Linked DNA regions of Kluyveromyces lactis. The protein of the gene in region 3 purifies or fractionates together with the protein of the main gene of each other region. This does not show direct contact. Links are inferred from orthologs where the notes say so. Each region holds a gene or a part of one and is shown on either strand. Other genes may lie near its edges.

What was found.
Region 1: the proteins of BUD21 (region 3) and MPP10 purify together in Saccharomyces cerevisiae (affinity purification with mass spectrometry, with the first as the bait; 4 studies listed by BioGRID). This does not show direct contact. The link is inferred for Kluyveromyces lactis from reciprocal best matches to the Saccharomyces cerevisiae genes BUD21 and MPP10.
Region 2: the proteins of BUD21 (region 3) and UTP8 purify together in Saccharomyces cerevisiae (affinity purification with mass spectrometry; 3 studies listed by BioGRID). This does not show direct contact. The link is inferred for Kluyveromyces lactis from reciprocal best matches to the Saccharomyces cerevisiae genes BUD21 and UTP8.

The regions. Positions count from the first base shown.
Region 1 is NC_006040.1:821,785-825,544, reverse strand, and holds MPP10 (rRNA-processing protein MPP10), read left to right. Parts: upstream 1-1,419; coding exon 1,420-3,246; downstream 3,247-3,760. Other genes in the region: AVT1 (Avt1p), read left to right, coding at 1-1,027; NOC3 (Noc3p), read right to left, coding at 3,346-3,760. UniProt on the Saccharomyces cerevisiae protein: Involved in nucleolar processing of pre-18S ribosomal RNA. Required for the early cleavages at sites A0, A1 and A2 during 18S ribosomal pre-RNA processing.
Region 2 is NC_006041.1:412,561-416,320, reverse strand, and holds UTP8 (Utp8p), read right to left. Parts: upstream 2,139-3,760; coding exon 195-2,138; downstream 1-194. Other genes in the region: KLLA0_E04687g (uncharacterized protein), read left to right, coding at 1-143; SYF2 (Syf2p), read left to right, coding at 2,379-3,044; KLLA0_E04621g (uncharacterized protein), read right to left, coding at 3,143-3,760. UniProt on the Saccharomyces cerevisiae protein: Involved in nucleolar processing of pre-18S ribosomal RNA. Also has a role in nuclear tRNA export. It acts between the steps of tRNA maturation/aminoacylation and its subsequent translocation out of the nucleus.
Region 3 is NC_006037.1:682,462-685,370, forward strand, and holds BUD21 (Bud21p), read right to left. Parts: upstream 1,404-2,909; coding exon 651-1,403; downstream 1-650. Other genes in the region: Mn(2+) transporter ATX2, read left to right, coding at 1-540; KLLA0_A07645g (uncharacterized protein), read right to left, coding at 1,762-2,580. UniProt on the Saccharomyces cerevisiae protein: Functions as part of the small subunit (SSU) processome, first precursor of the small eukaryotic ribosomal subunit that coordinates the first two steps of ribosome biogenesis in transcription of the primary transcript pre-RNA and pre-18S processing.

The DNA.
Region 1 (3,760 bases), on a different chromosome or scaffold from region 3:
ATGTTTGGATGCAGATCCATCCATTTCGACTTACGGAGATTTGGCATATGCAGCTTTTGGTCCAAAAGGTCGTGCATTGATCTCGTTCCTATTTGCTATGGATTTATTAGCATGTGGTGTAGCCTTGATCATTTTGTTCGGTGATTCATTGAACGCGTTGTTCCCAGAATATTCGGTCAACTTCTTCAAATTCGTCGCTTTTTTTGCAGTTACTCCTCCAATATTTTTGCCATTAAGTGTTTTATCAAATATCTCTTTGTTGGGTATTATCTCGACTATTGGAACTGCATTGTTAGTAGTTTTCTGTGGGTTGCTAAAACAATATTCACCAGGGTCATTATTGCAACCAGAAGCCACATCGATGTGGCCCAATTCATTCAAGGAGTTTTGTCTTTCCTTAGGGTTATTGAGTGCATGCTGGGGAGGTCACGCAGTCTTTCCCAACTTAAAGAGTGATATGAGGCATCCGGAGAAGTTTACTCGTTGTTTGAAGACCACTTATAGCATCACCATTGTTACTGATATCGGAATTGCTGTCGTTGGATTTTTAATGTTCGGTAATCTTGTTATGAATGAAGTGACAAGAAGTGTGTTATTGACTCCAGGATACCCGCCTTTTGTTTATGGCCTAATTTCAACTCTTCTTTCACTGATTCCACTTGCCAAAACACCACTTAATGCAAGACCGATTGTCTCCATCTTTGATTCAATGTTTAACGTAGTGCACATCGATGAAACTAAACCAGCATCGAAGGTTTTTTTCGCAAAGGCAACCAGAATATTTAACAGAATCATGGTGAATGTTATGTTCGTGATTATTGCTATTTTATTCCCTGAATTTGACAAAATAATTGCATTCTTGGGTGCTGCACTTTGTTTCATGATTTGTTTCATTCTGCCATGTTTGTTCTACAAAAGAATTTGCTACAAAACCATTAAATCTTGGGAATTGATAGCGTGTAATATTACGATATTAATTAGTGCAGTATTATCCACTCTTGGAGTATACGCCTCCTTCACCTCATGAATTACCTACAAATGCTGTTGAATTTGCCAGCACCTCATTCTTGTATATGCATCTACGTGTCTTTATGCAAAATTTTAGCACCCAAACTAAGGGAATCACACTTCATATAATGACTTTTCACCCATATGTACTTCTGTCTAGTATTCATCACCCAACCAATGCCTCACAACTGTGTCTATTATCTCTCTTCTTACCCGCATTGGCGACAGTTCCCATCATTTTTTTCTTTTTCAAATTTTTGGATACCTGAAAAATTGATGAAAACTCATCTCATCGCATCACTCAGCATGTACGAAATATGCGTCTATAGTAGCAGCTTGATCGTATCGATACATCCACTACAGCTACACCAGTAAATAGGTAACGTTTCACTGACCCACACATAACACAACATGAGTCAGTTTTTGGAAATTTTGAAAACTAATCCTGTTGGACTTCTTTCCCAGGATGCTCTGGAGTCCAAGGAACCACTATCGGCAGTGAAGACTTACTTTGACGAAGTCATCAATCTGAATAAAAACAATGGAAATTCAAAGACAACATTAGATGAGATAGTGGTTGATGGGCTAGATGCTAACCAGGTATGGTGGCAGTCAAAAATCATTTTAGATAATGTTCAAGGTGATATCATGGAAAAAATCGCCGAACTGAAGGTTGATAATGAGAATGATATGAGCGAGGAAAGCAGCGGAGACGAAGATGATGCCTCTAATGTTGAAAATTCCAATGAAATGTCTGCAGACGAAGCTCCAGTTTCTGAAGAGTCTGCTATTGAAGAGGAGGAGGAAGAAGCAGAAAATGAAGAGCTCGTTTTAGATGAAGAACAACAGTTCTCAGAACCAGAACCTTTAGAATTACATGAGAAGGAAGAAGATAAATTGGAAAACGAAAGTGATTCGGAACCTGATGATCAATTTGTAGAAGCACAAGAAAGTCCACAAGCGATCGAAGACAAGTTTGGTGTAAACGATCAATTTTTCAATCTAGATGAATTCAATAGACAAACACTTGAGGCTGAGAATAGAAGCCAAGATGCAGATGAAGAAGATGAGGATGACGAAGAAGTTGATTATTTCGCAGATGTTCCATCGGAGGAAGATGAAGAAGCTCTATATTACGACGATTTCTTTGATAAGCCATCTAATAAAAAATCTTCCCAGGACAGGCGGCCAGGACCTTCAAAGAAAGCAGAGGCCGAAGAGGATGAATCCTTTGACGAAAGCGAGTATGATGATGCAATGGAGGAAGCTAAGTTAGATCTTTTTGCTGACGAAGACGATGATTTTCAGGGATCAGATGAAGAAACTGCTGAACAACCATTATCTACCTTTGAACGTCAACAACTTGAGCTAAAAAGACAAATAGAATCCCTCGAAAAGGAAGCTGTTGCTGAGAAGAAATGGGCGTTAAAAGGTGAAGTAAAAGCTCGCGATAGGCCAGAAGATGCCTTGTTAACGGAAGATCTTGAGTTCGAAAGAACTGCCAAACCTGTGCCAGTTATAACAGCTGAGGTAACAGAAACTCTCGAGAATATGATCCGTAGAAGGATCAAGGAAGAAGATTTTAACGATCTACAGAGGAGGGTTATCAGCGATATTTCAGGCTACAATAATAAACCAAGATTCGAACTAAGTGATGTAAAGTCATCAAAATCACTAGCTGAAATTTATGAAGATGATTTCAAAGGTGTTACCGAGGATACTGAAATATCAGAAGAATTACAGAAAAGTCACGATGAAATTTCAGAGCTATATAAAGATTTGGTTTACAAACTAGATGCATTATCGTCAGCCCACTTCATACCTAAGCCGATAAAGAAAGATCTTGAAGTAAGAGTGCAAACCGCCGCTATTTCTATGGAAGATGCACAACCACTAACAATGTCAAGTGGTTCCACATTAGCTCCTCAGGAAATCTACAAAGTTGGTAAATCAGAGAACTCTAATGAAATAACTTTGAAGAATGGTGTGGTGATGTCCAGAGATGAACTGTCCAGAGAGGATAAAAACAGACTCCGTAGAGCTGCTAAGAGAAAGAGATCGAAGCTATCTGCGAAAAGAGCCGAACAACCTAGAAAGAAGAGTAAGACGGATGATGTTCTTAATACCTTGACTAAATCCAAGAACATAACCGTTATCGATAAAAAGGGTGCCAAAACTGATGTTAAGGGTAATATAAAGAAGGATAATGCATCTGGTAACATCAATTTCAAGTTATAGACACTGTTACAGTAAGTATATATTACTATAATTAATGCAATTGCATTGAAATGAAGGTGGTAAATAAGAGAATTCTTAATTATCTTTTTATCCCCCAAACTATTTATGTTCTTGAGATTTATGGAATAATGATCTTACACCTTTTACAACAGAAGGACTGTAATGCTTGACAAGAAGGCTATTTTCCCATATAGTTGCTGCTTCTGCATTACTTCTACTTGGTAAGTCTGTGTCGATGCGGAACTCCCCATTTCCAATTCTATCGTCTGTAGAGTATAAACCCAGTACTTCTGGATATTTGGTAGTTAGTTTATCCAAAAACTTCAGCAGTGCAATTGATGTTTTTTCTGGAGTGTGCAGCAAAGCCATGTAAATTCTCTTTGTGAACGCAGCAGCTCTTTGTTTAGTGCCAGATTTTGATCTGAAAAAGACATGATCAAGGGCTTTCAACAATAACTCTGCTTTTGTTGATACGTTAACTGATGGTTTGACGAGTTCATTATTCAAGGGGTCG
Region 2 (3,760 bases), on a different chromosome or scaffold from region 3:
CCCAGATTGTCATACTTGTCGACAAAGATAACAGAGTTACGTACGAGGAGCATGTGATTTATGAAAGTGATGAGGATTGTGAAACATACTCTTTCATGGATCCAAAAGAGGTAATTCAGTTCCAGTTCAATATGGAAAGCTGATGAAATCATTTTACGAAAAGTTCTAATGTTTATGATTATACTACACACTTATTAGCATTCTAAATAGTCCACTGTGTAAGCTGAAATAGGTTGTGTAGAAGACGAATTTGTTGATGAATTAGATTTATTGTTAACAACCGATGAATGCTTGGTGTAATGCTCTGCCAAATGCAAAAGTTCTATGTTTTGTGACACTACAGAAACCTGCGCATCGACAAAAGAGGAAAGTTTCTCTAAATATTCATCGTCTAACGCAAACAAACCGATGGAATCTATTATTAAACTCATAAGTTGGAAGATTTGTGGCTTATTAAGTTTCAAGTCCGAATCTGCCTTATTCGAGTTCAAAATCATATCCAAAAAGTTTGTGATATCCATCTTCTCAATTTTTCTTATACCTGCTTTGATTGATTCTTTCTTGTAATCTTGTAGCACTCTTAGCGTAATATCAAAACAGAGCTCTGCATTCGTTATATTGAAAAGCTCGGTTAACAAATCGTCAAGTGGAACATTCGGACAAGTAACAATAGCTTGTTTGAAAAGTCTTGGGTTATTTTTCAACTTGGTTAATAAGCCCTTAGCGTGAACCGGTGGGAATAAAGGGTGTGTTAGAAGGTATGTCAATGCTTTTGGATATTCATCCTTGAAATTTAGAAACAAGCAATCGATTATTTGAGTGAGTAAATCAGAATCATTTAAAAATCTGTCATTGTCTGTATAATATTCCTTGTCTAAGGAAAGCATCTTAAAAAATATAGAATCAAAGTTCTCTATTTTTTTACAGATATGGAGTTGTTTTATAATGCGTTCATAGTCTGGAGATGGCAATTCCACATCGTCGTCCTCATTGCTTTCTTCAAAGAGTTTCTGTAGTTTCTGCTTTTGTTTAACCATGAACCCTTTACCCATCGCATCTTTTAAGGTACCGGTACCAACATCAATGTTAATAACATCCAAGTAACTCGTAGGGTTAGCACCGTTTTTAGTTGTAACATCTAATGCTATAGTTTTTCTATTGTCTTCAGAGTTTTCTTGAACAACTGCAGTAGAGAGTAGTTGAATAGCTTTGATGTTCTGTAAATCCTTTTGGAATAGTATAGCATTGTATAACAAATCCACAAGATATATGGTATTATCAGCAGTCAACAATACACGGTTTGAAGAAACTGGTTTGATGGATACAACTGCATCCTTGGAAATGAAAGGTAGCTGAATGCTAGTTTGTAGTTGCAAATGTGGTAACTGATAGATTGATAATTCATTTGAGTTCTTTAAAACATATAATTTCCCGAACTCAAAACACAACTTTGCATTCTCTAAAGTGTAATTTTCTAGTATGATAGAATTTAGTTCAATACATGAGACGGACTCACTCCTAACTTGGAAAAGTTTGTAACAGATTTTCTCATCACTTAGTTGGCATAACACGAAAAAGAAATCGTTTCCCTGCCCATCTTGGAAGAATTGAACAAATCTGATATCATCATAAGATATATCAATAGTATTTGAAAGTTTCAATTCATAATCAAATGTTTGAATCAGTCCATTCCTTAAGATAACGAGAACTTTCTCTGCTTTAGAATAGATCTTAATGCTAACGACTTCAGATTTTAGTTTATATTTGAACTGAGATGTGATTTCAGCATTTGAAGATGACACGGCATCTTGAATCATCGGCTTAGTAGCCAAGTGTAAATGTGATACCTTTCTAGCTTCCAATCCGTAACACCAGACTTCTGTATTGGCTGCATCTTCTACCACGTCACATGCAGTAACAATGTTCGTAGAGGGGATTGGCAAGTTAAAAACCAGCTTCGGGGTTGGATTAATCAAGTATTGTGATATACTGGAACCTGATATACCAATATTCACTTTATTGGCTGATGGTGAAAGATTATCAACAACTTGTAAGTAGTCTGTTTGATTCGCATAATTATTCAATGATGGAATCTTAGGTAGAGCAGAGAGCCTAAAAGGCTGTGAGATGGATGCCATTTTCTCAATATCTTTCGATAAATAATATCAAAGCAAACTGTATTGAACACAGGATATTTGATACTTCACCTCGTCCTTTCAAGAGCAGCGGTTGAGTGTATCTTTGCACTTACAGCTCATCGCATCTCATCGCATCTCATCTCTTCTTCTGAGTACTTCAAATTTTTCAAACTTTACTTTTGGGAGTCAGTCCGGGTAATATATAGTGTCGAAATGCAAACAGAAACAAGATGAGATGCGATGAATATACTCAGATATCTTCCAGGTGACAGAAAGTGTAGCCCTTATTTGAATGCCACAAATCACATTGTAAACTGGACACAGGCTGATAATAAATATTCGAAGATGAATGATCTAATGGAAATTGAAAAAAAGTTGAAGAGTTTGCGGAAACAAAAAGTGGAAGTAAGTATAAGGAATAAGAAGGCCATAATAGCTGAAGAGAAGAAAAACTCTGAAAGAAGAGTATACAGTATGGCTGACGATGGCGAAGATAAAGCTAGAAGTAACAAAAGCGAACCAGAAGATCCGATAAAATTGGCAAACTACTCAATACGCGAATATGAAAAATGGGAAGCTAAGACACAGAATTCAAGACATAATAAAAGCGTGATGGGGGACTTCCAAACTATAGCAAAGAACAGCTACAAGAAGGAAGTAGATGCGCTTCCGAAGGATATATCACATCCGTTGAAAGGTGGAATAACTGAGGATGGGAAGGTTCAAGTAGAAGATAATCCTGAACTAGTAGAAAAAATGGTGAATGATTTGAACGAACGATCAAAGAAAAGGTATATGGTACGGAAACAAAAACTAGATAAACAAAATAAGATCAATTTGGATGATGGATTTATTAATGACAAGAATAAACGGTTTAATGCAAAATTGAATAGCGAGTTCAAATAGGCATGGGAAAATAGGTATATTGGGCATTTACATATGAGATATTTACGATTGATTATGAATAATTATTTTATTTTAACGATATATAGAGGTGGATTTCTTCATTTGTCTTCAGAATCTAGTGAGTTAAGGACTTCTAGATCTTCTTCTAAGCTCTTGACACATTGCTTGTAATGGATCAATTGGAAATTATGGAACAACTTAACCAAAGAAATGATCTCAGAACTATCTGTAAGTTCTCCCAAGAATTCCACAGTTTCTGAGGTTGCAGACACGAACTGATCTTCTAATCGTTCGAAAAGCTTAGAATCAGGATCTTCTTCTGTCTTTGCCATATCAACTGGTTCCTCATTGGTTTTCTTTTCGGGGGTTTCAGGGGTTTCAGTTGCGACCTTTTTTTCAGCTTCCTCAGAGGATGCTACAACCTCTTTTTCCTGCAGCTTCAATTTAATTTCATGACGTAAAGTATCAAAGTTCAATCTTGCATCTTGAACCTTAGCGCGCAATTCGTGACCTTTCTTGAAATCAGTTTCAATAAGTTTAGATAGTTTGGCGTTGAACTCTTTAACCATCAAACTATCCATTTCAGCCTTGCTTTGATCAATTGATAGTTGACATTTGGTCCATGATTCGAATGCTTTGATCAAATTATCTACGTCTTCATCTTCGTCTTCATCTTCATCTGCTTCTGCTTCTAGTTCTGGTTCTGCCTTAGTTTC
Region 3 (2,909 bases):
ACGAACAATATCGTATTCGCGTTGGTAATCCATGCATTCTCTGATGGACTGGCGTTGGGGATTGCCGAATCCTACGATTCGTTGAAATTCGTGATGTTGATCGCCATTATTATACATAAAATTCCTGCGACGCTTTCCTTGACGGGGATTATGATTTCGAAACAGAGATTACCCAAACTACAAGTAATCTCTAATCTTATTGCATTCAGTATATCCACACCGTTCGGGTTGCTATTCGTGATCCTGATGAGATTCGTCAGCAAGGACCTAATCGAGAAAATGAGCGATGGGCTATTGGTTCTGAGCGGTAGTAGTTTATTGTATGCTTCATTGCTTGCGTTGATCTCACCAAGTAAGGACCAGGAACAACAGTTACAGAATGATGGCCCGATCCCAGTGTCGGGTTCTGTTTTAGAGATGGGCGAAGGTGTTACCACTGAAGAGAAAATAGAACAAGAATCACTTCCAGATGTCAGATTGTTACTCTTGGGTATCTTTATCCCGTTAATGATCTCTTTCTTCGCTCCTCATGATAGCTAAAGCCAATCAGGAAACTCCTCTTTTAGATAATACATTATACACGAGACAAATCACATGTATAAAGACCTGTATATTTGAATAGATAGGTACATGTGGGCACAAATCCTCTTCTATTTACGTTTGAGACTTCTTCTTTTCAACCATTTATCCTTTGATTTCATGACACTGGTTTCCTTTTTTGGAGCCAGTGTCTTAGATACCTTCATCGACGATAGCAAGTTCACAGTGACAGGTCCTTTCTGTATTTGGGTCTTTCTCAATTCCCTTAGTGATCTCTTCTTTTGTTTCCGTAATTCTTCTTTTAGGGCCTGTTCTTCTTCTCTTTGCGCTTCTGCCGAGAAAGTAATATGTTTCGGCGTAGCCTTTGCGAAGGAAGATGCAGATCCACTTTCTAGCTCATCAAAGAACTCTTGTGGTAACTCTTCCGGCTCATCATTATCCGAACCCTGCTGCGCTACTAATTGTCGTTCAAACTCTAACATCTTTTCTCTCTGTTTCTCCTCCTCAGACTCGAGCAGCTTCTTCTTCTTCTCTAGCTGCTGTTGCTTGAACACTTTCTCGTTCTTTCGTCTCTTCTCTCTAGCTGCCTCTTCTTGTAACCTTGCAGCCTCTTCTCTTTCCTGAATCCTTTTCTCTATAGCATCTTTCCCACTACTCAAGCCTTCTTCTTCTGGCGCATCGCTATCACTCTCACTCTCACTTTCACTTTCACCATTCGCTTCTGCTTTTGTTGGTTTGAGAGCATCTAGGGTAGAGTTGCCCTCATCAGCTGTATGGAATGAATCATCCGCATCATCATCGAACTTCAAGTGTCTCTTCGCTACCAGTGCAGCACCAGAACCTAGAACTTTCTTCAAACCCATTGTTATATTTCTCAGTAAACTCTTGCCACTTGTCTAATCCAATGCACAATTGAACAGAAACACTGACAGAACGGTAACACGACCTGCTTCATGGACTAGTTCCAGTGGTTCATCTCATCTCATCTCATCGCTTTGTCCAAATTTTTCACTTCGAAAAGAAATGATACGTAAATAGAGGTCACGTGCTGAAGATTTTGTTCCTGACACTGGACTACGAGTAGAATGCTCATCACCCGTTAACGGACTGTGCTGTGTATTGGCTGGTTCTGGTGCTATTTGTTGGTTAGATTATATCAATTTATATCAACTTTATTGCTATGCTAATGGTATTTAATGTGTAGCTTGCAGTACTGAAACATCATGACACTTTAAACTCAATATCACAGAACTGGGTACCAAAAAGCATTCTTGCCACGTCTGTACCCATTATCCAGCATATACATGCCTTTATAATAACCAAGAGATATGATCTACCAGTTCCTGTTACTAAAGAATATATTATCCCAATGACACAGATGGTGATTAGGATATAAGTTATGATGACAGGATATCTTGCGTATAGCATTTGCAAGAACCGACTTAACGGACTGGTAAATGGTGATTCCCTGGATGGGGGAATTGAGGGTGACTGCACGGGGTCGCCTGAACATGGCTGATCGCTTGATGGTGGTGGTATTGGAATTGGCAACGAGGGTGTTGACCAGCAATGTATCTGTGCAGTGGGGTTGGACTCTGGGGAAATTGTTTGGTATGTTGTCAAATCAGGCAACTGTGATTCTAGTAGCGGTGACGATTCCTCCGCGACGCCGATATGACCCTTTTCTAAATCGCTGGCATTATATACCAAAGAGTCACTAACATTTCCATCAGGTAATGGTCCTACTATTATCCTAGTTGGTGTGCTGATTGGAACAGACTCCGGATGTGGTGAAGATTCCACAATGCGGACAGATTTATTCTCATGTTCGTGCGTGCCATCAACAGGTCTTAATATAGACTTGATTGGTATGGGAGTGCTGCTTTTCTGGCTACTGCTCTCACCGGATTGCATTGGTGGGTCCAGTTGTTTGGGTTTAGGTTTGGGTTTGGGTTTAGGTTTCGCTGCTGAAGCTGGTGCGTAAGTGATTGGTTTATTTCGACGTTTAGGCGAAAACCGCTTATTCAATAAGCTCTTCATATGATTTAGCTCTGTACAGTAGAAGCTGACGTTCTCTCTAAATATCTAGATTCAGATCTCGACCTTGAACGGTTGGAGAACGTCTTATGTCGTGTTCTCTATTAAAACGTTTGTGGCTGGGATCTAAATTCAGTTCAATTTGACGTCTGGAAAACTGACACAAGGAATTACCGGCGATTGAACAGCCGTGTCACTTCAAAATCGGGGGTTTAGTAGGGTGTAACCATCTGTAACAACAGGACAGCTATCTTGGAGAGCCCGTGCTTCTAAGTGCATCGCTCTGTGTTTTCTCTTGTGAGGTGGTATCATTTATTGCAATATAGGATGAA